3 linked regions of the Macaca mulatta genome follow. The protein of the gene in region 2 interacts with the protein of the main gene of each other region in a pairwise test. Links are inferred from orthologs where the notes say so. Each region holds a gene or a part of one and is shown on either strand. Other genes may lie near its edges.

Region 1 (10,978 bases), on a different chromosome or scaffold from region 2:
CACACTGGGAAAAAATCAAGATAACTCTATGGCAGACACATGATTCATTTACACTGTGCTAAGGTTCATCAACATTAGATAAGAGTTCAAATAAATAAAATAAAATAAAATAAAAATAATCCTACCTGGCATAGAATCTCTTGAAATATACCGTAGCAGTGGCAATAACTTGTTGTCTTAATTTAAGATGTTCACCTAATGCTTGGATAACTAAAAGGTAAATAATGAAATTTTAAATGTATCTTCTGGTATCATTATAATATTAACATTGAACAGTAACTTCCAATTGATTAAATCATAATTATGTTCATTTTTAACAAAGGGAAAAACCTACACATGCTCTATGTGAGTCACAGTGGTCTAACACTAGGATTTGCAAATGTGTTAAGAAAATATATAGGTATGCATAAACAACAACAAAACAATAACAAAACAGAAATTGCCCCACAGCAAAAAATTATCCATCCATTAAGGAAGTTGAATAAGTATTTCCCCTCTATCTTCTAAATATTTTAAATGCTTTTCATATTAGCTTTAAAATAAATATAAAAAGAAAATATTAGACACCTATGAAACTTGTTAATACTACCACTTTTTTGTTGTTTTGAGACAGAGTCTCATTCTGTCGCCCAGGCTGGAATGCAGTAGTGCGATCTGGGCTCACTACAATCTCCACCTCCCAGGTTCAAGTGATTCTTGTGTACCACGTCCAGCTAATTTTTGTATTTTTAGTAGAGAGGGGATTTCACCATGTTGGCCAGGCTCATCTAACTCCTGGCCTCAAGTGATCCACCCACCTCTGCCTCCCAAAGTGCTAAGATTACCACACTTAGCTTTATACGGCTCACCAAAAAAAAAAAAAAAATTCATAATGAATCCTCAAAAAAAAAAAAAAAAAAAAACCAGAGAGATAAGTTTACAAAATAGTGAACTGAAAGTTAAAAAAATTATGTGACAAACCTACTACATGTCAGAGTAAAGATATATCCCTAATCTTCTTCCCTTCAAAGTTCTAAGAGACATGACCACTACAGGATGCCAATCCAAAGAATCATTTATCCTCAAAGTACTTTGCTTTAGCCAACCGTGAACTGGGTCTAATAATTATTACAAAGCCTTAGGGAGATTAGGTAACACTTCTAAATTGTCTTAAGTGCCTGTAATATGTAAAATTCACACAAAAAACTTTATTTGGATCACTAAAAAGAAACAGAAATGAATACGTTGTAAAAAGAACACCTGTATAAATAAAAATGTTAGGTATGCACTAAAACAGTTTACAAATTACCACACAAAAACATTTTAATTCAGAGGTAACCAACTATACAATCTCAAACAACTTTTTAAAAAGTTTACCATTTGTAAAAAATATTTGTAACTTCCAATATTCTTCCTCTGAGAGAAACTTTAAATCCTTTTGGCGCTCCTTCAACAGATCTTGTTTATCCAAAATCCATTGCAAACTAGAAAAGACATGTTACAGAAAATCAACAAGCAAGGTCAGGGAAAACACTCTAAGATTGAACACATTGTTCATATTCTGAGAAGTACAAAGAGCAAAACATAACCTTAAAGACAATTATTTCTCACATTTCTTGAAATGTGACTAATAATTATCTCACTAATAAATGTAAATATGTCCTGAAAAAAATTCTGCTCTAATCTTTTCCTTCTTCCTCCTTAGTCTGTTACCAGCTTGTATTTCACTGATTCTGACTCTGATATCAAGATATGTCTTACAATCTGTGATGCCTTCGTGTTATAATTGGCAGCATGTTTATTCTTTCTTAGTGATATAAGATAACGGTGGAATTATTTGGCACCAATTGATGGTCGCTTAGATTTGAGGAAGTATATAGTTTTTCAGCTGTTCATGGGTAACTATGGCATTTAATTTCCTTACTTCACAAATCTAATTATATTAAAAACTGCCTCAGAATGTGTTACACTGATAGCCTCCTCCTCTTGCCTAGTCAAGTGTGCTATTTTTAACCAGAGATATGAAATTGACATGACTCAAAGAAAAAACGATCTTGAAGCTGTGTTTGTCATTCAATATGTATTCCAAGTCTTATGTCAATTAACTTGTTGTTCAGCAGTCTTTCATACAGCTTTATGGATGGATCATTATTTAGCCAATCTCTACTGATGCAAATATAGGTTATCATTTTTCACCCATATTTTCTAATACCCTTAAGGGCTTTTTTCCTTCAATTTATGATCCATCTGGAATTTATTTTGGTACAAAGTAGGGATCCAGCTAAAATTTTGTCAAATGCTTATCCAAATGCGCTGAGGTATTTCCTGATTTATAATTCTATCATTATACTTGGATCTTCTTTATAATTTCCTATTTTTTCTTGTTCATATGCTGTGCTATTTTAAAACACAGAAAATTAAGTAATTAATAGCTGGTATAAAAAAATACTGCCTTGCTACTATTTCCTGAATGATATGCTTCTTAATGAATATCTTTGTAATTCTCCTTGCATATTTGATTAATAATATATTTGAAATAACTTCCCAGAAGTAGGATTAGTGTTGCTGGTAATTTATTGATACACATTGTCAGTTTACCCTCCAAAAACATTATACCAATTTCCATTTGTATTAACAGTTCATGAGTGAATTGTACAATATTTAATCCTGGCCGGGCATGGTGGCTCATAATTCCAGCACTCTGGGATTCCAGCACTCTGGGAGGCCGAGGTGGGCCGATCACCTGAGGTCAGGAGTTTGAGACCAGCCTGACCGATATGGTGAAACTCTGTCTCTACTAACATTACAAAAATTAGCTGGACGTGGTGGCGTGTGCCTGTAGTCCCAGCTACTTGGGAGGCTGAGACAGGAGAATTGCTTGAACCCGGGAGGTGGAAGCTACAGTGAGTTGAGATCATACCACTGCACTCCAGCCTGGTGGACAGAGACTCTGTCTCAAAAAAAAAAAAAAAAAAAAAAAAATTAATCCTATGGGTTACTGCCACTTTTAAATATTTTGCAACTTAAAGGCAAAGTAGTACGTCACTGTTTCTTTTCCCTGTAGTTTACTTTTGAGGTTAAACATCTTTCTATGTCTTTATTGGTCATATACAGTTCTTCTTTTGTACAATGTTAATTCTAATATGACCATTTTTCTAATGGTATTACCGATTTTTTTAATGATTAAGAGATTCTTCTCATCTAAAATTTGTACAGTATGAATAATAAATCACTTGTTTGACAAATAAGTGCAAAATTTCTCCCAAGTTTAAATATCTCTCAGTATTTAATTATTTGTAATACAGAAATCTGAATCACTTACTTAAATCTATCTTTTACTTTCATGTTTGTCAGGCATAGCAAGGTCTTTCCTGATTCAAAATGATAAACAATTCACCCATATTTTCTAATACCCTTAAGGGCTTTTTTCCTTCAATTTATGATCCATCTGGAATTTATTTTGGTACAAAGTATAAAGTTGGGATCCAGCTAAATATTTTGTCAAATGCTTATCCAAATGCGCTAAGTTATCTTCTGATTTATAATTCTATCACTATACTTGGATCTTCTTTATAATTTCCTATTTTTTTTCTTGTTCATATGCTGTGCTATTTTAAAACACAGAAAATTAAGTAATGAATATCTGGTATGAAAAATACTTCCTTGCTACTATTCTCCTGAAAATTTCTGACATTTTATCACAATTATTATTCTAAGACCCAAACTTAAGAAGCATTATGTCAAGTCCTAAAAAAGAATATCCATTCAAATTTTGTGATTGCATTACATTTAAAGATCAATATAGGGAGAAATGACATCTTACCAAGAATTCAAACTTTATTAAAATCTGTATGTGCCACTATGGACTTTTAAAGTTTTCTTCCTACAGGTTCTGTATATTTCTTTATATTTTTCCCTCTGTATTTTATATTTTCTGTTGCTAATGTAAATTATACTTCTCTATCCATTTTTAAAAAGCTTTTATTTTTGTATTTTATAACTGGTCACCTTATTAAACCTTTATTATTTCTAATAACTTCTCAATTAACTGAGTTTTCTCATTAATTTTATTTCCACGTATTGATAATTTTGTCATTGTTTTGTCATTCTTTCTATATCTCCTTTGTATCAATTGTATTCACTAGTATACTGGTAAAATCTTAAATAGGCACCCTAATTATCCCAATGTTTTACCACTGCTGATGCTTTGATATGTTTTTCATGTTAAGGAAGCATCCTGTTTCTGTTTTAGTAAGAGCTTTAGTCAAGGATAAATGTTGAATTGCATTAGTTTTTTAATACCTTTACTGCTTCATTGACTATATTTCTATAATAAAATCCACTGTCACGTTTTATACTTTCAATGTAATGTTAGACTGTATTTGGTAATAATTCATTTACAATGTTTGCATCAGTATTCAAAAGTGAGACTGTTTTTAGTGTTCCCTTTACTAGATTTTTCTGTAAGTGTTATCATGGCTTTGTAAAGGAAAGCTTTTCTTCTTTCTGTATGAAATGGAACAATTTCAAAAGGAGATTCTCTTGAAAGATGTATTTACCCATGAAATAAGGCATAGTTCTTGGGTAATACTCTTAACTTGCTTTGGCTTTCAAATTTAAAACCCTGGAGATAACCCAAAAGTACCCTTGGGTTTACTTTTCTCATTCCTAATTTTGTATTTTTGTATCATTCCTTTCTCCCCTGATTTAACTAGCAGTAGTTTCGTCTACTGTTTTTGTTTACTCTAAGAATGATCTTTTATAATTTTTTTCCTTTTAATATATTAGCATCAGCGTTATCTATTTTAAGATCTTCTTCCTGTTTCTTTAGGCTTATTTCATGTTTCCTTCTTAGTATTATTAAATAGAATATTTCTATTATCTCTCAATTATTCAGGATATTGATTTTCTAATACATTCAAGCTTTGGTTACATTCCATATATGGTAATATTATGATGTTATTTTATAGATATTAAGTAACTGTATTTTCAGTTTCCTTTTTCACACAATAAAGTATCCACAGTTAGTTTTGTAGTTTCTATTTTTGTTACTCCTTCATTAATGCATTCAATCAACCCAGCAAATACTTAGTCCCCTTCTAGTTCATTTTGGTCACAGACTGTGTTTTGTTCTACTTCAACTACATTGTGGTTTGCTAATTAATTTCATCCCCACAGAGTCATTTTATGTTTTTAAAAAGATAAATTTCATAAATTTCACAAACATTTTATGAATTTTCCTCAGAGCTGTGTATGCAGGATAAACTAAAAAAATTTATAAATACTGCATTTCATCAAATTTAAGATTACATCTTGGATTCATCATTATTTCATATGCTATGAAAGAAACTGCCATGCTCATTTCAAAGATGTTAAAGTGTGAAAATATGCATCTTAGAAGCATGAAATATAGCATATTTAATGTCAATTGCCCTCTTTCACCAAATTCAGCTAAAACAATGGCCTTTCAAAATCTTTTGTTTGTTTTTCCAGAATTGTCTTGTCTTCCATACTTGTTACCTTTTCCAGATAAGAAACTCTATGACTGCTCAAGGGATCTGAGCAAGGCAAAGTGATCCCTTCTTTTAGGAGTATTTGAATTGGGAGAATAGTTTCAAAGAAGTACACTTAACTTTGTAATAATTTTATATTTGAAAAGTGAAAAAATGTTTTTATAACGCTATGAATAAATGAAAGCATAATGAGAACACCATTGAAAAAAGGTAGGAGCTTTTTTTTAAGTTGAAAAACTGACAAATCACCAGTCAGCTACTTGTCAATTCTCTCGGCTTCTTTCAAAGTTTATCAGAATCTCTCTTCTCCACTACCTAAATTTTTTTTTCAGGAGCTCTAACTCCAATACCTAAACTTTCGATACTTTAATTCTGCCCAAGCAATATTTCAGTGTGTGAAAACAATGCAACATATATATAATACACACACACACATATATATACACACACATACACATATGATCAGTTGCCTGCCTCTTTAACATGTCATCTCCACAGAATCACTTTATAGCAAGAGGAAAACCTGCTTTTCCTTAAATAGGTTACCGAGTTCATTGTTTCTTTTTTCTCCTTGCAAAGGGCTAAAAAATGAACATCAGGAACAGATCCTATTCACAGAATCGAAATTTAAATTACTTACTAATGCTTTCTTAGCATAAAAAATTATACTAAGATACCTTCTTTGTCAAGTTCTGTTCATCTTTCAACTATACAGTGGAAAGCCTACTCAATGTTCAATTAACCCCATCACGCACCTTCCTGCCTGCTTAAACAAATGTATTTAGAGATAAATGTTTTTAATATTATTCTAGCTCTCACATAGTCACTGACAGAAACAAGAACTTATTCATGAAAAAGGTTAAAGAAATAGAGAAACAAAATCACTGGAAAAATACGCCTTTAAAACAAAATATAAGGCACAGGCTAATGAAATGGATAAGTTTACAGGGCACCTGCCCTATACCTTATCAATATAAAACTCCATCTAGACATAAAGTACTGGCAAGAAGAGGTTAGTAGGCAGAAACAAGCCAGACTTTCTCCTCTCCTCAGAATATTAAATCCACTCAAGATATACAGTGAATGACAAAAGACCACGACGCCAATCACCCGAAGAAATCCCAAGCAAAAGCACGCCACAACTGTCCTGAACAGGTAGCCTCACAGTCTTGAGCTGAGTCACACTTCCCGTACCTGTGCCCACTCTATCCGACCCCCTGCGGCCTAGTTAAACTAAAAATCCGAAATTAAACTCTGAAACGTTTCTTCCTGGGAGACTAAACTCTCTCCCACCCCTCCCCCTCACAGATCCTTCCCTCCCCGAAACGGGCTGGGGGCGGGGAGGGGAGTCGCCTCAGAAAAGAGCATCTTGCTTCTGGCCGCTGCCGTCTCCCTTGAGGACCCCGGCACTCGGAACTGAGCCGGGATCCAGGCCCAAGGGAGTCGCAGGCCCCTTCCTCACAGCCCCCCAAAAACCGGCCCCAGGTGAGAAGACGTAAGATCACTTACTAGTGGGAGCTCTGCCAAAAGTTCCCTGCCATGGAACACAGCTTGCCCTGATAAAAAAGCACCAGCCGGCGGAGCGGCCCGCGGAGCGACCATAGACCCAGCCCGTCCGGTAACCGCGCTCCTCGATCAAATCAGCTCGGCTCGACTCCGCTCCGCGGCGGCGACGGCGAAAGGAAGAGGATGGCCCCCTAGTCTCCTTCACGCCGGCCGACAACACTCAACTGTGCAAACCCGTTCCTATCGACAAAAGTTCCGGCCCGCGGTAGCGGAGGGAGCCGGCGGGGAGGTGCTGACCTGTGGGGGCGCTGAGATAGAAGAGAACTAGTGCTCACGAGAGCTCACGGCGGTTGGAAGACTCTCGCGAGAGCGTCTTGCCTGTTCTGGCCGGGGGCCCACGGCGCTCGGTCTCCTGTCCTCAGCACTGGAGTTGCTGAGTAGGGGTCTAACCTGGGCGAAGTGGCTGAGTTCCGGGGTTCTGTTATTACCTCTTCCAGGACTTCAAAAACAGAACAATGGCATTGTAATAAAATAAAAGATTTTGTGACTTATTTTACCTGTGATTGGAAAGAGAAATAAATGAAGATGACTTTGTTCTCACGGATCAAGTTTTTTTTGTTGTTGTTTTTGTTTTTTGTTTTTTTTACCTTGCTCTGTCGTCCAGGCTGGAGTGCAGTGGCGCGATCCCGGCTCACTGCAAGCTCCGCCTCCAGGAGTTCGAGCGATTCTCCTGCCTCAGCCTCCTTCCCGAGTAGCTGGGACTACAGGCACGCACCACCACGCCCGGCTAATTTTTGTATTTTTAGTAGAGATAGGGTTTCACCATGTTGGCCAGGATAGTCTCAAACTCCTGACCTCGTGATCCGCCCGCCTCGACCTCCCAAAGTGCTGGGATTACAGGCGTGAGCTACCGCGCACGGCCTATTTTTTACTTTTGAGACAGAGTCTGGGTCTGTCACCCAGGATGGAGTGCAGTGGCACAATCTTGGCTCACAGCAACCTCTACCTTTCGAGTTCAAGTGATTCTGCTGCCTCAGCCTCCCCGGTAGCTGGGATTACGGGGATTACAGGCGCGTGCCACCACGTCCATCTAATCTTTGTATTTTTAGTGGAGAGGGGATTTCGCCAGGCTGGTCTGGAACTCCTGACCTCAGGTGATCCATTCGTCTCAGCCTCCCAAAATGCTGGAATTAACAGGCGTGTGAGCTACCAGGCCCGGCCTGGATCAAGCGATTTCTTTCTTTTTTTTTTTTCTTTCTTTTTTTTTCTTTTTTCTTTTCTTTTTTTTTTTTTTTGAGACAGACTCTTGCTCTGTCACCCAGGCTGGAGTGCGGTGGCGCTATCTAGGCTTACTGCAACCTCTGCCTCCCAGGTTCAAGAGATTCTCCTGCCTCAGCCTCCCAAGTAGCTGGGACTACAGTCGCGCACCACCACGCCCAGCTAATTTTTGTATTTTTAGTAGAGGCGGGGTTTCACCATGTTGGTCAGGATGGTCTGGATCTCCTGACCTCGTCATCCGCCCACCTCTGCCTCCCAAAGTGCTGGGATTACAGGCGTGGGCAACCGCGCCAGGCCGCGATCTTAATGGAGTTCTTTTGGAGTGATAGAAAAGTGCAAACTTACAGAGCAGCGAAATCACCGGTTTTGTAAAACACCTAAAAACATTCATGCACATATGTATGCACATGTATGTATATGTTTGCACCAAATAGAAACATACTGCAAGAACCATAATTTAATTTTACAAGATGAAATGTTTTGTATTTTCCATTTCAATTTCATTGTAACAATGCATTTGTTGTAAAACTTGTAATTATTTTTCTAAATAATTGGACACGCCAGAAACTTGTTTATAGACGATCAGCATCTGAGGCAACTTAAGATAGTATTTTTAACATTGTGGATGGAGACCAATTAGGGTGTGGTAAAATTAAGTATAATCATGTTCCTAAATAGAACAGAAAATACTAGGTAAATCAGAAATAGCAAGGATATTATATTAAATTTTGTTTATATTATATACACACACAGTCAAGATGTGAAATGCATTTATTTGTACGTGAGAATTAGTCTGTGCCAGGTGTGGTGGCTCACGCCTGTAATCCCAGCACTTTGGGATGCCGAAGTGGGCAGATCACTTGAGGTCAGGAGTTCGAGACCAGCCTGGCCAACATAGTGAAACCCGGTCTCTACCAAAAATACAAAAATTAGCTGGGTGTGGTGGCACCTGCCCATAGTCCCAGCTACTTAGGAGACTGCAGCACAAGAATCGTTTGAACCCAGGAGGCAGAGGTTGCGGTGGGCAGAGATTGTGCCACTGAACTCCAGCCTGGGCAACACAGAGTGAGACTCCAAATCAAAAAAGAAAAAGAAAAAAGAATGAATTAGTCTGGATAAGCTACACTAGGTGAAATTGTGGTAACACCTCCCCACCCCCACCCCTAATCAGCATAGCTTACCATGAAAGTATTTTACATGTCATAGGTCACTCCCATAAAGTCCCATAAAGTCAGCTTGCTCTCCTTGATGGTTGTCTTCCAGATCTGCAAGAATCTAATATTTATACATCTTTCAATTACTCCATCTTACTTCTAGGCTTAAAATCTTTCTAGAGAGAGCACAGAGGACTCATTTTACTAGCTCTTACCCAGTGTTAAGAGCCTTAAAACAGAAACAACCCAATCACCTTCTCTCATGTGCCAGAATAGACACATGCCTCCAGTTTTTAACTGTGAAGAAAGCTGAGGCCAGGCACGGTGGCTCACGCCTGTACTCTCAGCACTTTGGGAGGCTGAGACAGGCGGATCACGAGGTCAGGAGATCAGACCATCTTAGTCAACATGGTGAAACCCCGTCTCCACTAAAATACAAAAATTAGCTGGGCATGGTGGCGCATGCCTGTAATCCCAGCTACTTGGGAGGCTGAGGCAGGGGAATCGCTTGAACCTGGGAGGTGGAGGTTGCAGTGAGCTGAGATCATGCCACTGCACTCCAGCCTGGGTGTCGGAGTGAGACTGTCTCAAAAAAAAGAAAGCTGAGAAATGCAGAGGAGTGTGTAGTATACTTGATGAACACTACTGTCTGTTACACGGCAGATCACAATAAAAAATATTTAAAAGGCACTACCTTAAGAAACTCCAAGCCGTGGGCTATTTCACAGATTCAGGATTTCTTCAACTCTCTCAGGGTTTGTTTTGTTTGTTTGTTTTTGTCAGCCTGGCATCCAGAAGTTAAGGATACTGCAACGAATTAGTATTACTAATGTTTTATTATAAGCAATCCTATTACACTACACTTTGTTACTGTTACTGGACTAGCACTTTTTTTTTTTTTTTTGTCACCCAGGTTGGAGTGCAATGGCTTCAGGTGATTCTCTTGCCTTAGCCTCCCAAGTAGCTGGGATTACAGATGCCTGCCACCATGCCTGGCTAATTTTTTTGTTTGTTTGTTTTTGTATTTTTAGTAGAGAAGGGGTTTCACCATGTTGGTCAGGCTTGTCTCGAACTCCTCACCTCAGATAATCCACCCACTTCAGCCTCCCAAAGTGCTGGGATTATAGGCCACCTGCAATTTTGTTTTATACCTAATTCTGCACTCTTCTTCCTACAAAACAGTGAGATCCTTCATCTTTGTATTTCCATTAGTTCAGGGTATAATGCATAGTAGGCATAGCAAATACTGGTGTTTAAATCTCTTGCAGAATTTGGGGGATGTGCTTTGATATAATATTATGGATACAAAATTATGCTGAAAAGTGAGTACTACATTTAGAATGCAAAAAGAGCCACAACAACTTACCACAGCTGTGGAAATTCAGGTCCTTTCCTTCTGTGAACTCTTTTAGGCAATTTACAATAAGTGCTACATAGAACCTCTTCCTGTTTGTGACTTGGTTTCTGCTTCCGCCAAATGCCCTGCAGCTCCCAGTGTTCATGGGGGCTGTGCAAGTCAAAGGCCTAGAGCTTAGGCTTCCTTAGTTT
Region 2 (10,915 bases):
AAGTTCTTCTCACATCGCGTCACTCTGACCTATGTCCATAGTTTCCTCTCCCTCTCACTCTCTTCTGCCTCCCTCTTCCACTTTTAAGAGCCCTGAGTCCACCTGATAATCCGAGATAATCTCCCTATCATAAAGTCAGTTGATTAGCAACTTTTAATTCCCTCTGCAACTTCGATTTCCTTTTATAGGTAATCTAACATATTCCCAGGTTTCAGGAATTAGAACATGAACATTTTGGTGAGAGATGGAGGGGACAATTATTCTGTCTACCACAGGAGCTATTAGCAGTACTTTTGTATTATTGTAAAATAATATACTTAAGCAGGATGTGGAAAAAGGAAACAAGCAACATGAGAGAGACCGTCTGGACTGAGCTTGACCTTGGGTTTGGAGGAAATCACAGACACTGGGTGAATCATAGTAGAGACAGAATTCCAGGTCAGAGGCTTCTCACAAGCCACGCAGCAAAGCACGAATCCAAATCCATCCTGGAACTTGAGTTTTAAAAAGAAGAATCAAGGGAGAAATTATGGTGGAGAGAATCATTGCTTTATCAAATATATATACAATTTCAATTCACTTGATCATTTTAGGACACAGGACTATGTTTCACCCAAGTGGAGTCTGATTCCTGCTAGGAAAGCCTGGTGTGCTGGGAAAAGTCAGAGACCTCTGATCCCTTCAGATCATAATGGCCCTCTGAGGTTTCAGGAAGTCTATAGTTAAGCACTTTCATGGGTCTTCATGAGAGTCAAAGAAAGATGCCCTTTCTTGATATACACTGATGCCATCGGGCGCCAGCATTGTCCCTTTCAGTACTCAGAGTTCCTTGTAGCACCCACCAGCTGTTCACAGTGCCAGGGAACTGGGCCTTACAATAGCACCACTCGGGGACTAGTTTTATCCCTTTTAAAAAATTATAAATAAGTTGCGGTCAGGAACTGCGTCTTTCTTCATGTGTCTCTCCCCAATCCACCACCCAGCGTCTGCACAGAGTAGCTATTCAACAGATACTGGTTGGATTGAATTGAGAAAGGCCAAAGGATCAAATAAAGAGTTGATGGGGTCTCTAAGACCTGGAGTCGAGGAGGGAAGAGAGGAGCTGGAAGCCCAGGCTGATAATGATTGACCCACACAAGGGAAAGGAGGAATTCTTGGGCACAGGAGGGCAGGTCAGAGGGTCTCTTCACTGGGAAATTCCTGGACCACCAATAACCCAGAATAATACAGCACTGAACCCGAAACTCCCACTGGAAGAAGATGAGTTTTCCAGAGCTTCTTTCCAGCCCACAGCTCATGCCTCCTCCATTCAGATTTGGATACAAGCAGCTCTGGGAGATGTCCAAGTCAGAAGGAAAAATCCAAGAACGACCAGGGGGAGATAGGGACTGCAGCACTCAGCCCCTCCACCCTCCTTCCCACAGGCCTGCCTGCCTCGCTCCTGGGTCCAGGGCACCAGATTCGCCATCTGCCCCCGAGGCATGAAACTGCTCTGGGATCCAAGAGTCAGGCCATTATATGGCCTGTCTTTCAAGTGGCTTTTTACAGCTTACTCAGGTGATGAGCACGTTGAAACAAATGAATACAAATGAAAAAGGCATCTGCTTTGCCAAGGAAATGATATTTATTAGGAGGTTAAAAGGGAGGGCCACGGGGACATCAGAGAGTTCTCTGGGTGAGCATAGGAAGGAACAGACCCCCAGGAAGGAAAGGGTGAGCAGGACAGTCTAGAGTAGTTGGGGAGGCTGCAGGCTTTGGGTAAGTTTCTTGGCTGCCTTACGGGGGCCACTCCAGCCATGCAAATGATGTTTTCAGGCCCCTTTTGTTAAACCAGAGCCAGGTCACAGCTCTGCAGTCCTGGGCCCTGCATCCTTGCTCCTCCGGCATTTCCTAGGTTCTAGCGCACGAAGGAATTGCAGGGCCCACAGCGGGGGCGTGGGGCACAGGGTGTGCAGGGGGCAGGAGGAACGCAAGGTGTGCAGGGATTGGAGACACAGGGTCCGATGGACTTGCTGCACGCGTTGGTCGTGGCACAGGGATTGCTGGGCAGACTGGAGACAAAAGAATGATGTGGAAAGGTGAGTTAAGGAAAATTTTAAAATCATATGCCAGAGATATCCCCAAGGGTAAGAATGCCTGTCAGGACTTGGCCTAGCCTAGAACAGAGAAGGCACAGGCTCCCCTGCTACAAAGATAGCTCACATTGTTCATGGTCTCCCTGCCATAGAGCACCAAGGTAGACAGAAACTCTGAAACTCTGATGTCTACTCTCAAATCCGTTCATGCCAAACTGATGACATGGGGTTGAGTCATTTACCTTCTCCAAGCCCCAGTTTACTTTCCTATAGATTGGAGGAAATACTGATCCAGCCCACCTGGTGGTAATTATAAGATCAAATCAGGTAGTCTATGGAAATGTACCCACTAGACAATACGGTATTGTAAAAAGTAAGGCATTGATCACATATCATGCAGTCATGCATATTATCACAGTAGAATGCAAAGACTTGGCAGTGCAATTTCAGTTTGTACATCAAACAACTCTTGCTACCAAACCATTTATGTTTTAAATGATGGCCATATTATATTGTCTGAGTTCTGTTTGAGCATGTCTAGTGTGAAGGCATAATTTCCTTTCCAAGGTATGCAATCTTTGCATTGTGTCTGAGTATTACACTCACACGTGCACCGCTTCATCAAATACATCTGCCCATGTACTCACTTGCAGTCCTCGCTCTCCAGGAGGCTCCGGTACGTGTTGATCTCACACTCTAGCCGGGCACGCACATCCAGCAGCACCTGGTACTCCTGGTTCTGCCGCTCCAGGTCACAGCGGATCTCCGCCAGCTGCGACTCCACATTGGTGATCAGGCTCTGCACCTGGGACAGCTGGGAGCTGTAGCGGGCCTCGCTCTCCGTCAGTGTGTTTTCAAGAGAGTCTCGCTGTGGTGGGGAAGATCCAGAATGTCAGAGAGCTGCTCCTTCAAAGGGTTTCTTCATAGGATTCCAAGGAAGTCACAAGCTCCAAGAGCTAAGGAGAGTGTGTGGCCCCAAGGGCATCCCCAGGACTCTGCCTCCCAATTTCCCATTGCTCACCAGCAGGTCAGAACAATACACACCAGGTTATGCTGGGCCTGCAGCTCAATCTCCAGGGCATTGACCGTTCGTCTCAGCTCGATGATCTCTGCCTGGTAGGACTGCAGCTGCTCCGAGCTGGATACCACCTGCTTGTTCAGCTCCTCGGTCTGAAACACCCAAGGGGAGAAAGGATCAGACCCTGCCTCTGGGGCCATAGGGTGGGCCTTGGGTCCTGAGTGGCCACGTGCTTAGATGCCCACCTGCGTGGTGAACCATTGCTCCACTTCCCTGCGGTTGGTTTCCACCAGGGCCTCATACTGACTCCTGGTCTCATTTAGCACCCGGTTCAGGTCCACAGTGGGGGCAGCATCTACCTCCACGTTGAGACGGTCTCCAAGCTGGCAGCGCAGGGTGTTGACCTCCTATGGATGCAGAAAATACAAGAGTTACTATGCTCAGCAAAGAATGGACTCTAAGGAATGGCATTGCTTGTTGAAGCCCTGTTGGTCTGTTCTCTCAGAACAGAAACTTTGAGTGGAGCAGTCTGTGACAGCTCAAGGCACTCCATGTGGCATAGCCCCCTCCCCACCATCTGCTGTGCCATGGCACTTGGCTTCAGAAAAAAATCCCAAAAGTTTGCTTGGATGCCACTGAAGGATGGACTAATTGAGGTTCAACTTTCCCAGTTTACAACTGGCTGTGAGGACCTCAGCATACAAAAAAAAAATAAAATTGGCTGTGCAATTTCAGACCGTATATCAAAAAACTCTTGTTGTCAAGTAAGAGATAAGAGCATATCATGGCCCCTCCCAGGAGAGAGAGGAAGAAGCTCACAAACACTATTCGCCAATACTTTGAAAGAGTAGAGACTCACATTTATAAGGTTTGATTTTTTTTCTTGGTCTTTGGCAAAAAAAAAAGACTTTGCAAAGCAGTAACACTGCAATGCTAGGACTCATTCTATAACTATTGACCAATTTCAAGCACATGGAGCTGCTCTGGGCAACTCAAAGAATGTGCTAGTTTAAAGTGAAAGATGTTTCCTGTCTGGGAACATGAACAGGTCTTATCTCTCTCCAATTTTTCTCTTGCCGTGATGTTTTTAAAGGAAACCCTCAGCCTTGTACTCATACTCTGCATTCTGCTGCCCCTAATCACTAAAGCTACCCTGAGTCAGAGGCTGAGACAGGTTTGTGCATTTCTCATTTCTAGTCTCACCTGCTCGTGATTGCTCTTGAGGCACAGCAGCTCCTCCTTCAGGGACTCCACCTGGGCCTCCAGGTCGGACTTGCACAGGGTCAGCTCATCCAGGATCCTACGCAGACCGTTGATGTCCGACTCCACCAGCTGCCGCAGGGACAGCTCAGTCTGGTACCTGCACAAGGAGCGGGTCAGAGCACTACTTGGTAGATCTTCAACACTCACAGGAATGATTTTTGATAACCTCATGTGCCTTATCTTTCCACTTTCTGTAATGAATAGGCCCAGGAGACAGAGGTTTCTGGAGGCTCCATCAATACCCAATATTCATCCCAAAACAAACAGATTGATGTCAGTCCTCATCTATTTTTGTGATTTCTTTGCTTGGTTCTCCCCAATCCTCTGCAGAATCCTTCACAGCAAGTGGGTAGATCTGTTTTTCAGTACAGCCATGGAAATCCCTTTTCTGTAACTAAAGATTAAACAGAAGAAATGGACACTAGTGCAAATTCCGAACAACTCACTTGGTTCTGAAATCATCCGCAGCTAGCTTGGCGTTGTCGATCTGCACCACAAGCCTGGCATTCTCGGACTTGGTACACAGGATCTGGGGAGTGAGAGGTGGCTTAGTGAGGACTGAAAATAAATATGACATCATCAACTTTTTAAAAATGACTTAAAAAGACATTTTGAAATAAAAGAGGAAGCAAGAATTATGACAGCACAGAAGCAAGAAACACACTTCTCTATCACAGACAGAATCACTGCAAACTCTCTTGCTTGGAGATGACAGCAATGCCCCTCACCTTCTGCTGAAGCTCCTCGATGGTCTTGAAGTAGGACTGGTAGCTGGGGCACAGCAAGGGCTCCTGCTGCTGGGACCGCTCCCGGATGAGGCTCTCCAGCTCCGCGTTGTCCCGCTCCAGCTGACGCACCTTCTCCAGGTAGCTGGCCAGACGGTCGTTCAGGAACTGCATGGTCTCCTTCTCGCTGCCATTGAAGGAGCCCTCGCAGAACCAGTTGCAGTTGCTCACATTGGCAGGGATGTTGCAGGCCCCGGGTAGGGTGCAGCCGTGGCAGCTGGGGGGCACGCAGGGCCGGGAGGAGCAGCTGGTGCGGCAGCTCAGGCTGGGCAGGCAGAAGTTGTAGGGCATGGTGCTGGGAGGGAGGGAGTGAGTGCCTGGCTGAAGACAGAGTCTAAATTCTCCAAGCCACAGAGCTGTGGGTCTCCTTCCTCTAGGGAGCATTTATATCCCACTGCAGAGGGTGTGGACACAGTATGTAATGTCTTTTTTCTTTTTATTTCTTCACTTCTTTTCAAACGCCCTTTCCTTCAGTCTGTTATTTGCCTTCCTCAGAAGAGTCCCTTGTCCCATAAAATTCTTTACTTGGGCTTCTTGCTAAGTCAGGACTCCTCCGCAGACAGTCCACCCATGAAATCAGAGTTCTGTGGTAGGCCTTCAAAGAGGCTACACAGTCCAGCCCAAGTATCTGCCCTCATTAATTGAGGTGTTGATCCATCCAATGACATTCTTTTGTGTCACATAATCCTGCAGGCCCATAAACATACTCATGTCCTGGTCCACCTGCCATTTCTAGGGAGAAACACGGATTGGTTTGAGGAAGAAGTTGCATTAAGAGGCCACAGTGGACTGTGTTTCCCTCTTCATTTAAAGAAGAATCTTCAAATGATGGAGCATTCCATGCCTTGGAAGCCTTAAGGTGGATGACTAGAATCAATGGAGGACAGGGATGAAAATATTAGACAGCAATTTGTGTTTTACGGGTCCGTGTAATACTTCCCCGCCAACACTGCATATTACTTAAGAAAATTGTAGAGGAGAGAATTTTAAAGGTAGAGGCTTTGATAACTAGTTTGAGAACAGAGAAGTTTCTAGGGTAAGAGATCATTTTGAAAGAAGGCTGAAAAGTGCAAACTGAGAGAGCCATAAAAAACACACTTAAGGCCGGACGTGGTGGCTCATGCCTGTAATCCCAGTACCTTGGGAGGCCGAGGCAGGCGGGTCACGAGGTCAAGAGATTGAGACCATCCTGGCCAACATAGTGAAACCCATCTCTACTAAAAATACAAAAAAAAATTAGCTGGGTGTGGTGGCGGGCACCTGTAGTCCCAGCTACTCGGGAGGCTGAGGCAGGAGAATGGTGAGAACCCGGGAGGCGGAGCTTGCTGTGAGCTAGGATCCCGCCACTGCACTCCAGCCTGGGTGACAGAGCGAGACTCTGTCTCAAAAAACAAACAAACAGAAAAAGGCATTTAAATGACCTAGAAAAGATATTTAGGGGCAGAGAGAAAGGAATAAGGAGAGAGAAAGGAATAAGGAGGTGTTTGTCAAACATTTCTTCGGGTGTCCATAGTATCCAAACAGAGTAGATGGATATGTTAGGAAAGTCAGGAGATAGCCCAAAGGGGCCTCCACAGGCATGAAATCACATGTATTTGATCTTTAAACTTCATGTGAATTGACCCTATATTCCATAATATATCCATGTTGGCTTTAATGTTTTCTAAAAGCCCCTTTTAAATTTCCAGTTAAACTTTCAAATGTTTTGCCCAATTCACTAAGAGAAAAGGATACACCAGGAAGATGGGCTATATTCTGTCCTGGGCTTCCCATCTCCAGCCCTACTGTAGATGCCCCCTGCTTTAAGAACCAAAGGTCTAAAGGTACCAAAGGAGGTCTCTGTGGTTGTATAATTAAATCCAAGGACCTGTGCACCGGGAAAGAAAATGCTGAGCACGGCATGAGCAAGGGGGTTTTGCAAGGCAAGCTGGAGTCACTTGGGGTTGCTTTGGGAGGTGAAGGAAGGCACTAGAAGATCTGAGGAAGAGGTAGCCAAAGCTCTGAATATATAAAAGTTGCATAATTATAGGCACCGTCAGGTACCACCTGCATCTCTGGAGGCAGCACCCCCATCTCCACTGTGGCTTTGGCTGCCAGCCAGAGCTGCCGTTTTATTGACAACTTATTGGAGTGCTTCTCCCATTGAGCTTTCATGATGGTATTCATGTCACACTCTGCTTGGGTCTCAGATAAAAGGTCCTTCATCTACACTCCCCAAGACCATTATCACTGCTTATTATAATGCCATTCAGATGAAAAGACCCACAGCACTACAAGGAAGATCTAGACTTATAATAAAATCTATACTTCTTTGTTTCCTTGCAAGACAATTAAACGTGGAGAAATAGGCGGGTCTACAGGCTGTTACCCTTGAGACTTTCCAGAGGAAGGACGCAAGGCTAGGCGGCAGCTGTCTGTGGGGAGCTTCTGTCTCATTTCATCTGGGCTTGGGGTGAATGGAAAGGCTCATGCATCTGATTGATGAGCACTAGCTTATAGATGACAGCACAGGCCTTCTGCTTCCTAACTCTTGTCAGCCTGCTCCAAGCACTGGCTTTCCAGCAAGCAGCTGTTTCCTCAACCCTTTCTTCTTCCCCAGCCAGGGAGGCTTTAACCTAAGCCCAGACTAAATGCCAGCAGTTTTCTCCAAGCTCTTGGGTCCTATCTACTGACTGGCCGGCATAGCCTCATGGAGACTGTAGTCAAAGAAGAGTGTTTAGGCTCTAAGTATGAGAAGATTCAAGGAATGGATTGACAAGAAAGCAAACATAGAATTTTTGTACAATGCAGAGAGATCAGAAAAATGGAAAGAGATGGAGACGAGGAGAGATAACAAGAAAAAGAAGAGACAAGGAAGAAAGTTAGGAGGGAAGAATCTTCAGAATCATGCAACAAATCAGACAAAGTTAGCCCAGCTTCCAAGGGGCTAACCTGGAGAATGCAAAGCTGAGAAGAAGCCAAGGCAAAATAAGCCAATAGACTGAGGAGTGGCCCACCATGCTGAGTGTCCTGCAAGGCATAAATCGAGTTGACTCAAAAGATCTATGGACACGGGACTGCAGCTTCTGAGGCCTCTGAAAGAAGTGACATTGTTCCAAGGTGTCCAGACCAAAGCATCACCTCTGTGATCCAGCTTAAGATTTGTTTGTGGCTGAGAAATATACTGCCATCTACACCCAGGCAGTGTAAGGTCTAAAAGGAGCAACACTGCCTGTTCCTGAAGGAATAAGGAGTGGGAAGAGAAGAAAGGAGAAATGAAGCAGGGAGAGTCAGTCCTGCACTGGCTGCAGGTCATGGCCCGTCAACAGCCACATAGAAGATGCAGGAGAGAACAAGCGACCCCTGTTATCTTCTGGTTACTCCTAGAGACTCCTTTTTCTCCCTGCTGGTTGCCCTGCAGAATGTGAAGTGGCACAAGAATTCAGGATGGGGACCACAGAGAGACTGGCTGGTGAGTAAACACAATGCTGCCATCTCTTGTAAATCTAGCTTCTTTCTTGCAGTGTTTCTAAGATCTCAGTGGGCTTGAGTGAATTTGCTCCTTGAATTAGTGGGGAAAATGGGACCCCAGGGTTGTAAGGTCCCCATGACCTCACACAGGCAAGGGATAGAATTCATGTATTCTCTTAGTTTCCTAGTTGGAATAGTTGCAAATTTTTTTCATTCAAGGAGAAATTGAGCAGTCAGTGGGCTATCAAACCCACATTCATTATTTAGTTCAATTTAATTCAGAACACATTTATTACACAGCTTCTCTATGCTGAGCATAAGACTAAACTAAAACAAAAGAATCGTAGTTCTGGTGAAAAAAATGTTTTTTATGAACAATTCAGGCCAAGATGGGTCCCCAATATGTATGAGAAATAGCCAGAAGTTAAGGAGATGAGATATTTAGAAGGTGTAAGATGGACATTTGGAAATATGTTTGTATTCAATGTAAATAGAAAATGGGTACTGGGCACAGTGGCTTGCATCTGTAATCTCAGCACTTTGGGAGGCTGAGGTGGGAGGATCACTTGAGCCCATGAGTTCAAGACTAGCCTGGGCAACTTAACGAGACCCCATGTCTACAAAAAAATATTAAAAATGAGTTTCAAAATTAGCCGGGCGTGGTGGCACATGCCTGTAATCCCAGCCACTTGGGAGGCTGAGGCAGGAAAATCGCTTGAACCCAAGAGGCGGAGGTTGCGGTGAGCAGAGATCGTAACATTGCTCTCCAGCCTGGGCAACAAGAGCGAAACTCCATCTAAAAAAAATTAAAATAAAATAAAATTTAAAAACGAGCCAGGCTTGGTGGAGCACACTTTAGTCCGAGATGTTCTGGAGGCTGAGGCAGGAGGATTGCTTGAGCCCATGAATTTGAGGTTACAGTGAGCCAAGATCATGCCACGGCACTCCAACTTGGGCAACAGCAAGACCCCATCTAAAAATTAAAAATAAATAAAAAGAAAAATGTACGTGTGACATTATGGGCATTAGTCACTTGTTGAACATCTACTGTGTGCATCTGCACATCTACAGTCCCAGGGGCGGGGGACATTGTGGGGAGTGGGGGCATGTCATGTCCCCACCACCCGGGAACTCTGAGTCCTGCTAAGCAGACAGGTCCACAGCTAACATAATGTAATGTGATTGAGCCTTCACCCAAAAATATCTCCTTCCCCTACCCACTCCATTTCTTCCTACACCCACCCTGACCCAAACCCCATTTAGGGCATTCCAATCCAGCTCATGATTTTCAGCCACATGGCGAGGAGATGAAGCTATTTCAGGTTATGCACTTGTATCCCAAAGAGTTGTTTGTGCTTCGCTCTCTAAGTGACTCAAGCAGGATTCAGAGAACTGTTCTCATTAGAATCTTGTTCCCTTTAATAATCTAGTCTTCAGCCAGGCAGGGTAATGAATTGTTTCGGCATCTGGTTCTTGTTGCTTTGCAGACCACAGGAGAGGCAGTGGTGATGGCCCATCTCTTCAGCCCTGTGGCATCCCCACAGGATCCATGGGAGTCAAGGTAAGTTTCAAAGCAAATGAAACATGCTTTTTGCCAGGTGCAGTATAAGAAATCATTCCAGGGATGTGGTGTGGGGCAGAAAAAGAAAAGTAACCACAGTAAATCAAGTAAATTGACAGAGGAAATAGAAAGGGGAATAAGGCTGGTAGAGGGAAACAGAGGGAGGACGCAGTCCTGCTGGTGAGTGGACACAGTTGTGCCCCCTTGAGACCAGAGAGACCTCCTGAGGGCAGAGGGCCTTGGAGACCAATGTGAATCACTGAGGCAGGTTGTATAGGATGTCCAAGAACTAGGGAGGAAGAAGGGAAAGGGACATTTGGATGCAATAACCAGCATCAAACAGGGGAGCTTCCAGGCGATGGCGAAAGGTCAGAAGCTGAGTCTAAAATGCTAATGGGGGACAGCACTGAGAAGATCACCCCTAGCGAGATCCCAGACCCTAGGATGCCTTTCCCGTAAAATCCATCCAGGATTTCAGAGTGGCGTGAATGTGAAGTTTTATCCACATGTACCTCCAGCAAGGCCCTCACAGTTGGGAACAGGGAAAGAGCAGGGGAACAGAAATGAGAAGACTTGGGGTTGGGTGCATGGAGCTGCCCCTCACCTGCCGTGAGGTGCAGAGGGGTCATTTCACCTCCCTACAACTGTACTTCTCCCTCTGCACAAGGGGGATTGTGATGCCTGTTCCCCTCTCTCAGGGTTGTTTGGGGCCTCCATTTGGATACAACACAAAGTACTTTAACAAGTGCTTTGTAAATGGTGA
Region 3 (10,892 bases), on a different chromosome or scaffold from region 2:
CCTTAATGCAGCAAGGGGGTTTTGGCTGGCAGCAGTGATTGTGTTTTGGCGGGCAGCATTGATTGCCTTTTGGCTGGCAGCACTGGTTCTGTTTTGGTGGGCAGCATTGATTGCCTTTTGGCTGGCTGCACTGGTTCTGTTTTGACGGGCAGCATTGATTGTCTTTTGCTGGGCAGCATTGACTGTGTTTTGGCTGGTCACACATCTTCTGGACACTTGGAGGTACTAGAAAAAGAAAAGAATATTCTCATCAGAAGGAAATCTGGGTGCCTGCTTTCATTTCCTCCTTTCTTAATACCCAAATACATCCATCTTCAGGATAATGACTCAGACCGGGGTTGAGAAAGCAGAGCTGGATACCTCAGAGGGGCCAGCCAGCCCTGTAATTCTACCTTTGCATATGCCAGCATGTTTGTTCCTTACTAGGTAGTCATTTGCCAGATAAAGAATCAAAAGACCAGAATATGTAAGCAATGTGCCTAAGGTCTCTTAGCTAATGAGCAAACAGTGTGACCCTCCGTTGCCAGATCCTGGGTCAAGTGTCGGGCCCTTCACAAACATCAGCTAATGTAATGACCGCTACCTGCCTCAAGTAGACATTTTTAGTCCACTTCACATCATACGAGGACCACTGAAGTTCAAAGATCCACCTCAGTTGCTTGTAAGTGGATTCAAGCCAAGCTCTATCCCACTCCAGAGCATGTGCTTGTTCTTGTCTCTAATGTGGCATCCAGGGACCCAGGTGCAATGGAACTCTTGTACTTAGAGTGACCAACTGTTACACCCTTCCCGAACGCATCATCTTGTCCCATGCACAGAGCGCTGTGGTGGTTACAGCAAGATGAAATGAAAAGTACAGTGCTTTTGGCATGGCAGGACCTGAGTTCTAGGGCTGGTTCTGCAACTCCCAAGCCTCAGGGCTTGGGCAGTTCTCTTCATCTCTCTGGGCTTGTATCTCTTCCTCTATAAAGGGGCAGTGGTGGGGATGAGGAAGGGGGAACTGGACCTTATAGGGATCCTCAAACTCAACCATTCAGCAGTTTTGTAATTTCCTCATTCTTCTAGGTATAGAGAAAATCCAAACAACTCTTGCTTTACTTCTATCTATCTACCTTCCTCCACCCAGGAAATCCAAGTTCTCCCAAGAAGGTCCCTGGGCCTTGGCCCCAGTATGCAGCCCCTGGGGAAGCCCCTATGTGGTTTCTGCCTTGTCCCTCCAATGGCACATGATGAGAGGATGAACACCACTGTTGTGGCCCCAGAGCAGAATAGAGGGTCTAGAAGTGGCCAGGAAACAGTAGGCAGTGAGCAGGTTGTTATCTAGCCTCCTCAGGGAAATGTGGAAGCATGGGAAATGAGCCTATACCCCCTCTGGGGACTCAGCTCACAAAGCCACAAACCCATGTGGGTGAGGCACCAGGCCTGTCAGAGCCCTGTCACCGGTGTGGGGGATGGGTGTGGGATTTGGATTGACAATTGCTGAAGTGAAGTTGCAACCACCTTCTGGCCTCTGGCATCCTCGGGATTGTGAGAAAAGCCTCTTGTCCAAACTAATTTTTTTTTCTTTCTTTCTTTTTTCTTTGGAGGGAAGTACCATTACTGGACATGGAGCTTCACTCTTGTCGCCCAGGCTGGAGTGCAAGGGCGAGATCTTGGCTCACTGCAACCTCTGCCTCCCGGGTTCAAGTGATTCTCCTGCCTCAGCCTCTGGAGTACCGGGGATTACAGGCACCGGCCATCATGCCCAGCAAATTTTTGTATTTTTAGTAGAGATGGGATTTGTCCGTGTTAGCCAGGCTGGTCTCAAACTCCTGACTTCAGGTGATCCGACCACCTCAGACTCCCAAAGTGCTGGGATTACAGGCGTGAGCCACTGCACCGGGCCCCAAACTAGTTTTTTAAACTGAACCAGTTACTGCTGTGGGCTTCCACTAAGCACACACTTGCCCATATCTCTGTGAGAATGTGTGTGTGTGTGTGTGTGTGTTTGTGTGTTTGTGTGCACACACGTGAATGCATGTAGGCATGTGTCCATGCATAATCATAAGTACATGGTGAGGAGAACTTGAGGTTTGTGATGATGGCTGTTTAGTTGGATCAAATTGATATTACTTGAACTTTCTCATGAGTCTTAACAGTTAGAGCCAGTGTGAATAGCTCCTAGCAGGGGCCAGCCTCCGTCCTAGCCGTCTCTCTCCTGCTGGACACTCCCTACTTGCCCTCCATCTGATCCGTACCTGCTGTCAAGATACTTCCCCCAAGTCCTGCTCAAACCCTCTCCCTGATGTTTAGAAAGCCACATCTCTTGTCTTGTCCTCTTCTTTTGTGTTCTGTAGATAGAGGGACTCCTGGGAACAGTAGCTACAAATCTCTCCTGACACTAAAGTCTTTCCGGGGGAGGACTGGGCATGGTGGCTCATGCCTGTAATCCTAGCACTTTGGGAGGCCAAGGCGGGTGGATCACCTGAGGTCAGGAGTTCGAGACCAGCCTGGCCAACTTGGTGAAACCCCATCTCTACGAAAAATACAAAAACTAGCTGGGCGTCGTGGCAGGTGCGTGTAATCCCAGCTACGCGGGAGGCTGAGGCAGGAGAATCACTTCAACCCAGGAGGCGGAGGTTACAGTGAGCCGAGATCGTGCCATTGCACTCCAACCTTGGCAACAAAAGTGAAGCTCCATCTCAAAAAATGAAATGAAATGAAATAAAATAAAATAAAATAAATTAAAATAGAAAAATGAATTATTTCTGGGGGTTACCCCATGATAATGATATGGTTTGGGTCTGTGTCCCTGCCCAAATCTCATCTTGAATTGTAATCCCGACATGTGGAGCGAGGGACCTATAATCCCCACATGTTGAGGGAGGGAGGTGATTGAACCACTGTGGCAGTTTCCCCCATGCTGTTCTCATGATAGTGAGTTCTCACAAGATCTGATGGTTTTATAAGTTCTGACATTTCCCCTGCTCTTACTTCTGTCTCCCACCACCAAGTGAAGAAGGTCCTTCCCCTTTGCCTTCTGCCATGATTGTAAGTTTCCTGAGGCCTCCTCAGACATGTGGAACTGTGAGTCGATTAAACTTCTTTCCTTTATAAATGATCCAGTCTTGGGTAGTATCTTTAGAGCAGTGTGGAGAAGGACTAATCCACCCCAGTAGGACAAAAATCTATATCATCCTTTCCTGAAGGTGTGCATGATTCTCCAGTCAGGTGGTTGCTAACGGATGCCTGTCAGATGACCTACTTTGCTATCTGAATCACCCCTGTGACTTATAGAAGACCCAGGGCTGTGGCTGTCCTGAATGATGGGTGACATGCTCTTAGACTCAACCCTTTTTTATCTGGGGATTCACCTAAATCCAGTTCGTAGTGTAAAAACTGGGTCCCATTGAGCCAGGTGTGGTCGACACCTCCACCCACTAGTAACAGTAACTTTCAGACTCACATGTTGGACGCAGCCCCAGCCGGCCTCTCTTCACTTTCACTTTCTGAACCACTGGAGCCTCATCTCAGGGTTTCTCTGTGGGAAGGAGGTCCCTGGCATGTGCGTGAGAAGGCTTGGACATATGCCAGGGCCCTCCTTCTTACAGAGAAAGCCCAAGACTTTCTCTGGCAAGAAGGGGAGCACAGTGCTACCTCCTATAAGGACCCCTATGTTTGAATATTCTGAACTATAGCATTAGGGTGAGAGACAATTGAGAAGGAAGAGTTATCTCTTAAGGCCCTGCCACCTGGTCTAAACCCTTCATGATCCTAAGTCTCTGGCTATACGGTTGCAGCCTGAACTGGGTCAAGGGCAGTTCCCACCTAAAAAAGGAAGAGTGACTTGGATTAGGATGTTGACTTTAATTTAGTCACAATTCTATCCCTGCCACTTATTCTAGGATTCATCCTATCTTTCATGGAAAAGGCTCCTGCTTCCATTTAAGAGAAAGACACTGGAGCAAGACTCCTAAAGGATGGGCGTGGGGACAAGTCACCCCGTTGCTCCTTCTAGGTCAGAGGAAGCTGCAAAGAGGCTGAGGTGGCAGATGCAGGCCCTGCAATGCCTTGACTTGCCTGAGAGGGAACGGGAAGGAGAGAGGTGAGCAATGGAGAGGTACACCAAAAATGGAAATAAGACACAGACAGACCAGCATAAAAACAGGGAAGAGGTGAAAGAGTACAGGGCCATGTTCTCTACCACCTTTGTAGTGTTCATAGCTGTTTGACAGGAAGTGTGTGTGTCCACATGCGCACACAAGCATACACCTGGTTGCCCCTGCAGCTGTACAGGGGTGAGTTTGAGTGTGTGGGTGTATGCAGGGAGCCCAGTATTTGTCCCTGTCTCCTTGTTGTTTGAATCTGCTCCCTTAGGGGTCAGACCTAAGACTAGGTTTTGAGAGGGATGAGGAAGGAGTGAGCCTCTTCTGTTTTTATTTTCTGTTGTTTCTCTCTGTGTTTATTTTTGCCTTTTACTATTTTTTCTCTCTGCCTTTCTATCATTCTCTGGTCTTCATCCTGTCTCTATATTTCTGTCTTTTGTCTCCGGTTTACCTTTCTCTATTCTGAAGGTCAGTGCCCTGAACTGACCAAAGTGCAGAGTCTCATCACCACGTGGAAGTCCAGTTTGTTAGGGTCCATCCTTACAAGTCCAGGCTGAGCTGTTTCTACAGAAGCAATTCTCATTCCGGTGACCAGAGATGCAGAGGCATCAGAGGGCACCTGGAGCCCGGGTCCAGGGGCTTGCCTCACTAGTCCCACCAACATCTCCACTCCAAGCATGTCCCCCATAGTCAGGTCCTGGGAACAGGTCCTGAATATGGAGGTTGTGCCATATCAGAGAAGGAGAGCAGGTTAGAAACCAGTCTTGTTGACTATAGCATAAGGAGGGCAACATCAAGTCCTTCTGCAGCTTCACCCCCATGGATGCAGGTCCTGCCCCTCTGAGCCAATGCTGTCTCCACTGTCTTCCTTCTGCCTAGTGAATATTATCTATTTCCTCCACTTTCAGAACGCTAGCTCCTGTACAATAAATGTGCCTCCTGACCACTCTGCCTCCTGCAAGAGTTTCTTCTTAAGATTCTCTCCTTGGCCAGGCTCAGTGGCTCACACCTGTAGTCCCAGCACTTTGGGAGGCCAAAGCAGGTGAATCTCTTGAGGTCAGGAGTTTGAGATCAGCCTGGCCAACATGGTGAAACTCCATCTCTACTAAAACTACAAAAATTAGCTCGGCATGGTGGCATGCACCTGTAATACTAGCTACTTGGGAGGCTGAGGCAAGAGAATCGCTTGAATCTGGCAGGCGGAGGTTGCAGTGAGTCGAGACTGCACCACTGCACTCCAGCCTGGGAGACAGAATGAGATTCCATCTCAATAAGTAAATAAATAAAAATTAAAATAAATAAATATATAAATATTCTCTCCATGCTCCGTTTCCCCTCCTTCCCAACCAAGCTCTGCATAGCCTGCCTCAGGAAATCTGCCTGATCACATCAAACACCTGTGGCCCAGGGCCAGGGCCATCTTCCTAGCTTTTCTTATTGCTCTATTCAGTGAGGATTAATACAGAGCCCAAACCACCAGGAGGGCCCTGGCAAGGTGCCTTCTGTCTGACGTCTGCCCACCGGCCCAGTCTCATGTCCACCCACTGTTCTCTCAGGCACCAGACTGGCTCAGAGCAGACACCTGCTGAATTTTCTCACCTCTTTCCGGGTTTTTGAATGTGTTCTTCCCCAGCTTGAACCACCCTTCCTGGGTCTCTGTCCCCACATGCTCACTGAATCGTTCAAACCTGAAGTCTCTGCTTACACATCACTCCTCAAGGAAAACTTCCTTAACCCATAGCCTCTGTCTCCCTGATAGGCTTTCTTGGATCCCCTGTACTTCTCATTACATTTTTATAGTGGTTATTATTTCCCTAATTGTCTGACTTCTGTGGTCCGTTAGCTCCATGAGCACAGATATCCTCACTATCCCCACCCCCAGAGGCTCCAGTGACTTCCTATTTTTTTTTTTTTTTTGAGATGGAGTTTCGCTCTGTTGCCCAGGCTGGAGTGTAGTGGCTCGATCTCCACTCACTGTGATGAGCTCTGCCTCCAGGGTTCACACTATTCTCCTGCCTCAGCCTCCTGAGTATCTGGGACTACAGGTGCCTGCCACCATGCCCAACTACTTTTTTTTTGTATTTTTAGGAGAGATGGGGTTTCACCGTGTTGGCCAGGATGCAGTGGCTTCCTCTTAAATGGAAGCAGGAGCCTTTTCCTGAAATATAGGATGAATCCTGGAATCCTCTCATCCAGCACACTGAATGGCATTGCATGGGCCTCAGTAAGTAAATATATAATGAATGAACACATTAAAAAGCCATGCAGAGAGGGCCCAAAAGATAAGGTTTCTGTGTTACCTGGTCTGGCCACACACTTCTCAATTCACAATTTCCATGCTTGACTTCTGATGACTGATTCCAGTAGATATTATTGATCTTCCTCAGCAGCCTAGTGAGTCCATGACTATCAGAAGCCAAAGTCTTCTGAACCAGATTGGTTCCCTCCCCTGCTAATACCAAGATTCTAAGCCTCTATGACATCATAATCCTCTCCCCAGGACTCTATGCCTAGCTCACTCACTAGCGCCCTCTGCCTGCTGGAGAGTCTGACTCTTCTCGGTTTCTTTCCTGAAAGATACAAAGTTCCCTAGCTAACCCATAAGCATGCAATGACCTAAAACACAAATCTGTATTGAGTGTCTCCTATCTACCAGGCTGTGTCCTAAAAAGTGAAGTGTAGCTCAATGGAATGTAGTTTCCATTCTCAAAGAACCAATTCAATATGGAGGCAAGTCAATAGCCAATAATACCATGTAATAATAATGATGGTAGGATAAGCACAGGGGTCAGGTTTGGGGGTCAGATATGCTTCCTGGAGGGAGTGATATTTAAGCTGAGACTTGGAAATTGGAAATAGGAAGGGGGTGTCTGGGAGACATTTTCAGATCCAGAAATGTGAAAGTATAAGCTATTTGGTGGAAAAGCTCAGTGCGGCTGGAGCAGAGTGGGGAGTAAGGAGAAGGGGGAGACTCACCTACCTAGGTAGGTAAGGCTGTGTTGGTGAGGACTCTTTATGCCATAAAGAAAATAGTTTGGACTTTATCCTGAGGACAATGGGAAGCACCGAAAGGTTTTAAACAGGGGAGAAACTGGGATGCCTTAGGGGCAAGGACCCTATTTTATTCACTTTGATATTCCCAGTGTCTGGCTGAGCAATTGGCACATAAAAGATTCCGAAACTGAATCAATTCAATAGTGAATTGACTAACATGGTGAGAAGAGAGAAGCATTTCATTATGTTTGTTCTTTTCCTTTATTCCTCTAGCATGGACATTTAAGGACATTTAAGGACAGTGACTAGGAAATTCTCTTCTCCTGGGAAGCATGCCTGCCATAAACACTTGTAGGACACCAGGCAAGAGCCTAAACAGAGGCTTCTGACCCCTGTGGTTCACCCCTTGTTCTCTTCCTACTCCCTGGCTTCATCCTGTGCCATGAGGGACCTTGGGTGTGCATGAGTGTAAGTATCCTAGCCCATACCATCCATGTTCTTTTCACACACGGATCTCTCAAACTGCCCCCTCTTGGTTATTGAGACCTAGAAGTGAGCACAGTGTTGGTTGTTTGAGTCTTCAGGAGGATGGACACATAAAGATGATCTCAGGGCCATTTGACAGAGATTTATGGGATCCTGGATAGTGGGTATGAGGGAGACAGCAGCTCTGGGCCTATACACTGAAATATCAAATTATCCTATGGCCAGGGTCATGGCTGGAAGAGAACCAGAGAAGGACTCTTTTAAAGTGTGAAGTCCAGGACAGAACTACCTCGGCCAAAGGGTAGCACTCCTGGGAAGTATATGAATTGAATTGTGCTTTTCATTCTATAATATACTATTCAAGTACTTCTCTTTCACTTGCCTTCTTCAGGTCTTCATGCTTATAGTTATTTCCAAAATTTATTCTCAGTAAAATGTCTGCTCTCATTCACATCTCCCCAAGTGTCTAACATTGTAGTTGGGACCAAAGCCTTAATCTATAAGAATTAAGTTATTTCTAGGAAGAGTACAGAGAGGGAGAGAGGGGTAGAGTGAGAGAGACAGAGAGGTGGAAATGGCCAACAAACCTATTAAGAAATGCTTATTCATAACTAAAGGAATGCAAACCAGAAGATCAATGAGACACTGGCTTTTCCATGACAGTCCAGTAACAAACATGAAATTTTGATCACATTAATCATTAATGAATATGTTGAGAAACCAGTATTTTCATATTCCGTTAATGAGATTTCATTTTACAATCATGTAATAGGATAGTATATAGCTAATAAAAGCATAGAGTCCGCTTGTAGATGATGCTATGAAAAATTCTCCCAACCATGTAATCAAAGAAAACAATCCAGTAAACAATGTTAGTGTATCCCTTGTCTTATAAAAAATAATGTATATATAAAGATATATATATCTTATATATATAAGATAAATATATATGTTAGTATATGTTAGTATACATAATATTTTCCTAGAAGAATCACATATACATTTTCCTAGAAGAATCACATACACATTTTCCTAGAAGAATCACATACACATTTTCCTAGAAGGATCACATACACATAAACTATTTGAATTTTAACCATGACGCGTGTTAGTTAATTAAAATTAAGCTAATGAAGGCTATCTAGGAGGTGAGGATAGGTATACTTTCTGCTCACCATTTAAGTTCTAGTTCCAACACACTGTATGGAACATCGTAGGTACTAAATCCACATTTAGTCAATAAACGCATGGAAGAATAATTTAACTAGTACATTAACTTGGAACTCTGTGTGTTCCTGTTCTTCTGCCTGACTACTTCCTGCTGGAGTCCTCGGCTCTCTTTCCTTCTCCACCAACACTTATTTTCTTGGTTGGAGCATTCAGTCTCCTGACCATAAAGGCCATCTATATGTCAGTGATGATGATGTCTACTTTGTTAATAACAGCTCAGACATCTCTCCAGAACTTCAGACTTTCGTATCCAACTGCTTATTTAATATTCTCACATGGATATCTTTACACAGTCCTGTTTTGTTTTCCTCTGGTGGTACTTTTCAAATATAATATAATAGACATATAATATAAAGACCAGTATCTCATAGCACTAAAATAAGCTAATTTTTATTTATTGTAGTTTTATGTATTGTCTTCTCTCATTAGAATGTCATTGCCAAAAAGGCAAATGCTGCTTACTGATATATCTCAGGCTCTCAGACAGAACAGTTCTTAACACATAGTAAATACTCAAAAAATATTAGTTGAATGCATGAATGGTGATTGTTGGTCTTTTTTTTCTAATCAGTTTGTCTGCCAATAACTTCTAACTGTTTGTCCAAATTGGGGAACCCATTTCCTAAGGCTGTTTTCAATGCATCATTCAAACTAGCAGAATGTGTCCTGTGGCAGCCCCACTCCTACCTCCTTAGGTTTTTCTGCCTCTGTTATCAAAAGTGGGGAAGACTATGACCATCTTTCTTTGCTGCATGGGCTATGTTAATTGATGGTGAGAAAAGTCGAGGCCGGTTTGCAGGAATTTGCTGATGTAATGATGTAATTAGCTCCAGTAATGGAGTGAGTCTTTATGGTGCTGTCTTCCTGGGTTCTAGCATTTGAGGCTCTGCTTCCTGTAGGTCTCCTTTAATGTGATTTTTTTTTAACTTTTTTTTTTTTTGAGACAGGGTCTTATCCTGTTGCCTAGGCTGTAGTGTAGTGGTGTGATCTTGCCTCACTGCAGCCTCGACCTCCTGGGCTCAAGTGATCCTTCCACCTCAGTCTCCCAAGTAGCTGGGACTATAGGCGCATGCCACTACACCTGGCTAATTTTTGTATCTTTTGTAGAGACGGGGTTTTGTCACGTTACCCAGGCTGGTCTTGAACTTCTGAGCTCAGGAGATCCTCCTGCCTAGGCCTTCCAAAGTGCTGGGATTACAGGCATGCACCACGGTGCCTGGCCCTTCTCCTTTAATATTATTAATACTGATCATTATTACACATTTACTTGGGCCTAAAATCAGAAGTTACAAAGGATACACAGTGAAATCCCCCACATGCGACTCAGATATTTCAGTTAACAGAGATCAATTTCTGAAATATCCTTTCAGGGATATTTTATGCACAAAAACCCCAAACAAACATGTATATTTTTTCTTCTTTTAACGAAATAAGAGTAACTCCACATCGTTTTGCTCATTGCTTTTTTTACAATAGCATCTGTTGGAGATCATTCCATTTCAGTACATTAAGAGTTTCTCCCTTTGTTTCCCAGTCTGGATAATAACCTATGTATATACAGAAGTTCCCAATTTTGGCCCTTGCAAACAATGCTGCAGTGAACACATTATTTATACATCATTCCTCAGGAGGAGATAGAATATATTTATTTAAGTGCAATTGCTGACTCAGAGGCTACTTTTGTAATTTGATCAGTATTTCCAGTTTCTTCCATATGAGTTTCACTGATTTATTTCACTCCCTACAATGTATAAGACTGCAATTTTCCCCCATAAATTCATCAAAATGATGTATTTTTAAATTAATTGTTCTTGGCCCATCTGGTAGGTTAAAAACGGGATCGCAAAGTAGTTTTGAATTTCTCTTAGTAACTAAGCAGAACTATATTTTATTACATTAATAAACTACAACATCCATTTTCTGGGAACTGCCTGATGTTATAACTTACCTAATACTTAACCGTATTCTTGATGATTTTATTACTGATTTGTAGCACTTATACGATATTGGAGAAATTAAGTTATTTTTGTGCTATGAGAAACTAAATTTCTTCCGCTGTGTTTTTTGACCTTTGACTTTATTATATTTCAACCATAT

What was found.
Region 1: the proteins of keratin, type I cuticular Ha1 (region 2) and CCNC interact in binary tests that used the Homo sapiens proteins (3 or more experiments, as listed by UniProt). The two-hybrid records come from large-scale screens. The link is inferred for Macaca mulatta from reciprocal best matches to the Homo sapiens genes KRT31 and CCNC.
Region 3: the proteins of keratin, type I cuticular Ha1 (region 2) and SMCP interact in binary tests that used the Homo sapiens proteins (3 or more experiments, as listed by UniProt). The two-hybrid records come from large-scale screens. The link is inferred for Macaca mulatta from reciprocal best matches to the Homo sapiens genes KRT31 and SMCP.

Annotation. Positions count from the first base shown.
Region 1 is NC_133409.1:86,294,099-86,305,076, reverse strand, and holds the start of CCNC (cyclin-C), read right to left. Parts: upstream 7,167-10,978; 5' UTR 7,034-7,166; coding exon 7,002-7,033; intron 1,464-7,001; coding exon 1,357-1,463; intron 211-1,356; coding exon 126-210; intron 1-125. UniProt on the Homo sapiens protein: Component of the Mediator complex, a coactivator involved in regulated gene transcription of nearly all RNA polymerase II-dependent genes.
Region 2 is NC_133421.1:65,735,523-65,746,437, forward strand, and holds keratin, type I cuticular Ha1, read right to left. Parts: upstream 5,436-10,915; 5' UTR 5,433-5,435; coding exon 5,085-5,432; intron 4,886-5,084; coding exon 4,803-4,885; intron 4,454-4,802; coding exon 4,297-4,453; intron 3,501-4,296; coding exon 3,339-3,500; intron 3,246-3,338; coding exon 3,120-3,245; coding exon of another isoform or gene 3,116-3,119; intron 2,944-3,115; coding exon 2,723-2,943; intron 2,052-2,722; coding exon 1,898-2,051; 3' UTR 1,606-1,897; downstream 1-1,605.
Region 3 is NC_133406.1:114,156,496-114,167,387, forward strand, and holds the start of SMCP (sperm mitochondrial-associated cysteine-rich protein), read right to left. Parts: upstream 6,514-10,892; 5' UTR 6,386-6,513; intron 226-6,385; 5' UTR 206-225; coding exon 1-205. UniProt on the Homo sapiens protein: Involved in sperm motility. Its absence is associated with genetic background dependent male infertility. Infertility may be due to reduced sperm motility in the female reproductive tract and inability to penetrate the oocyte zona pellucida.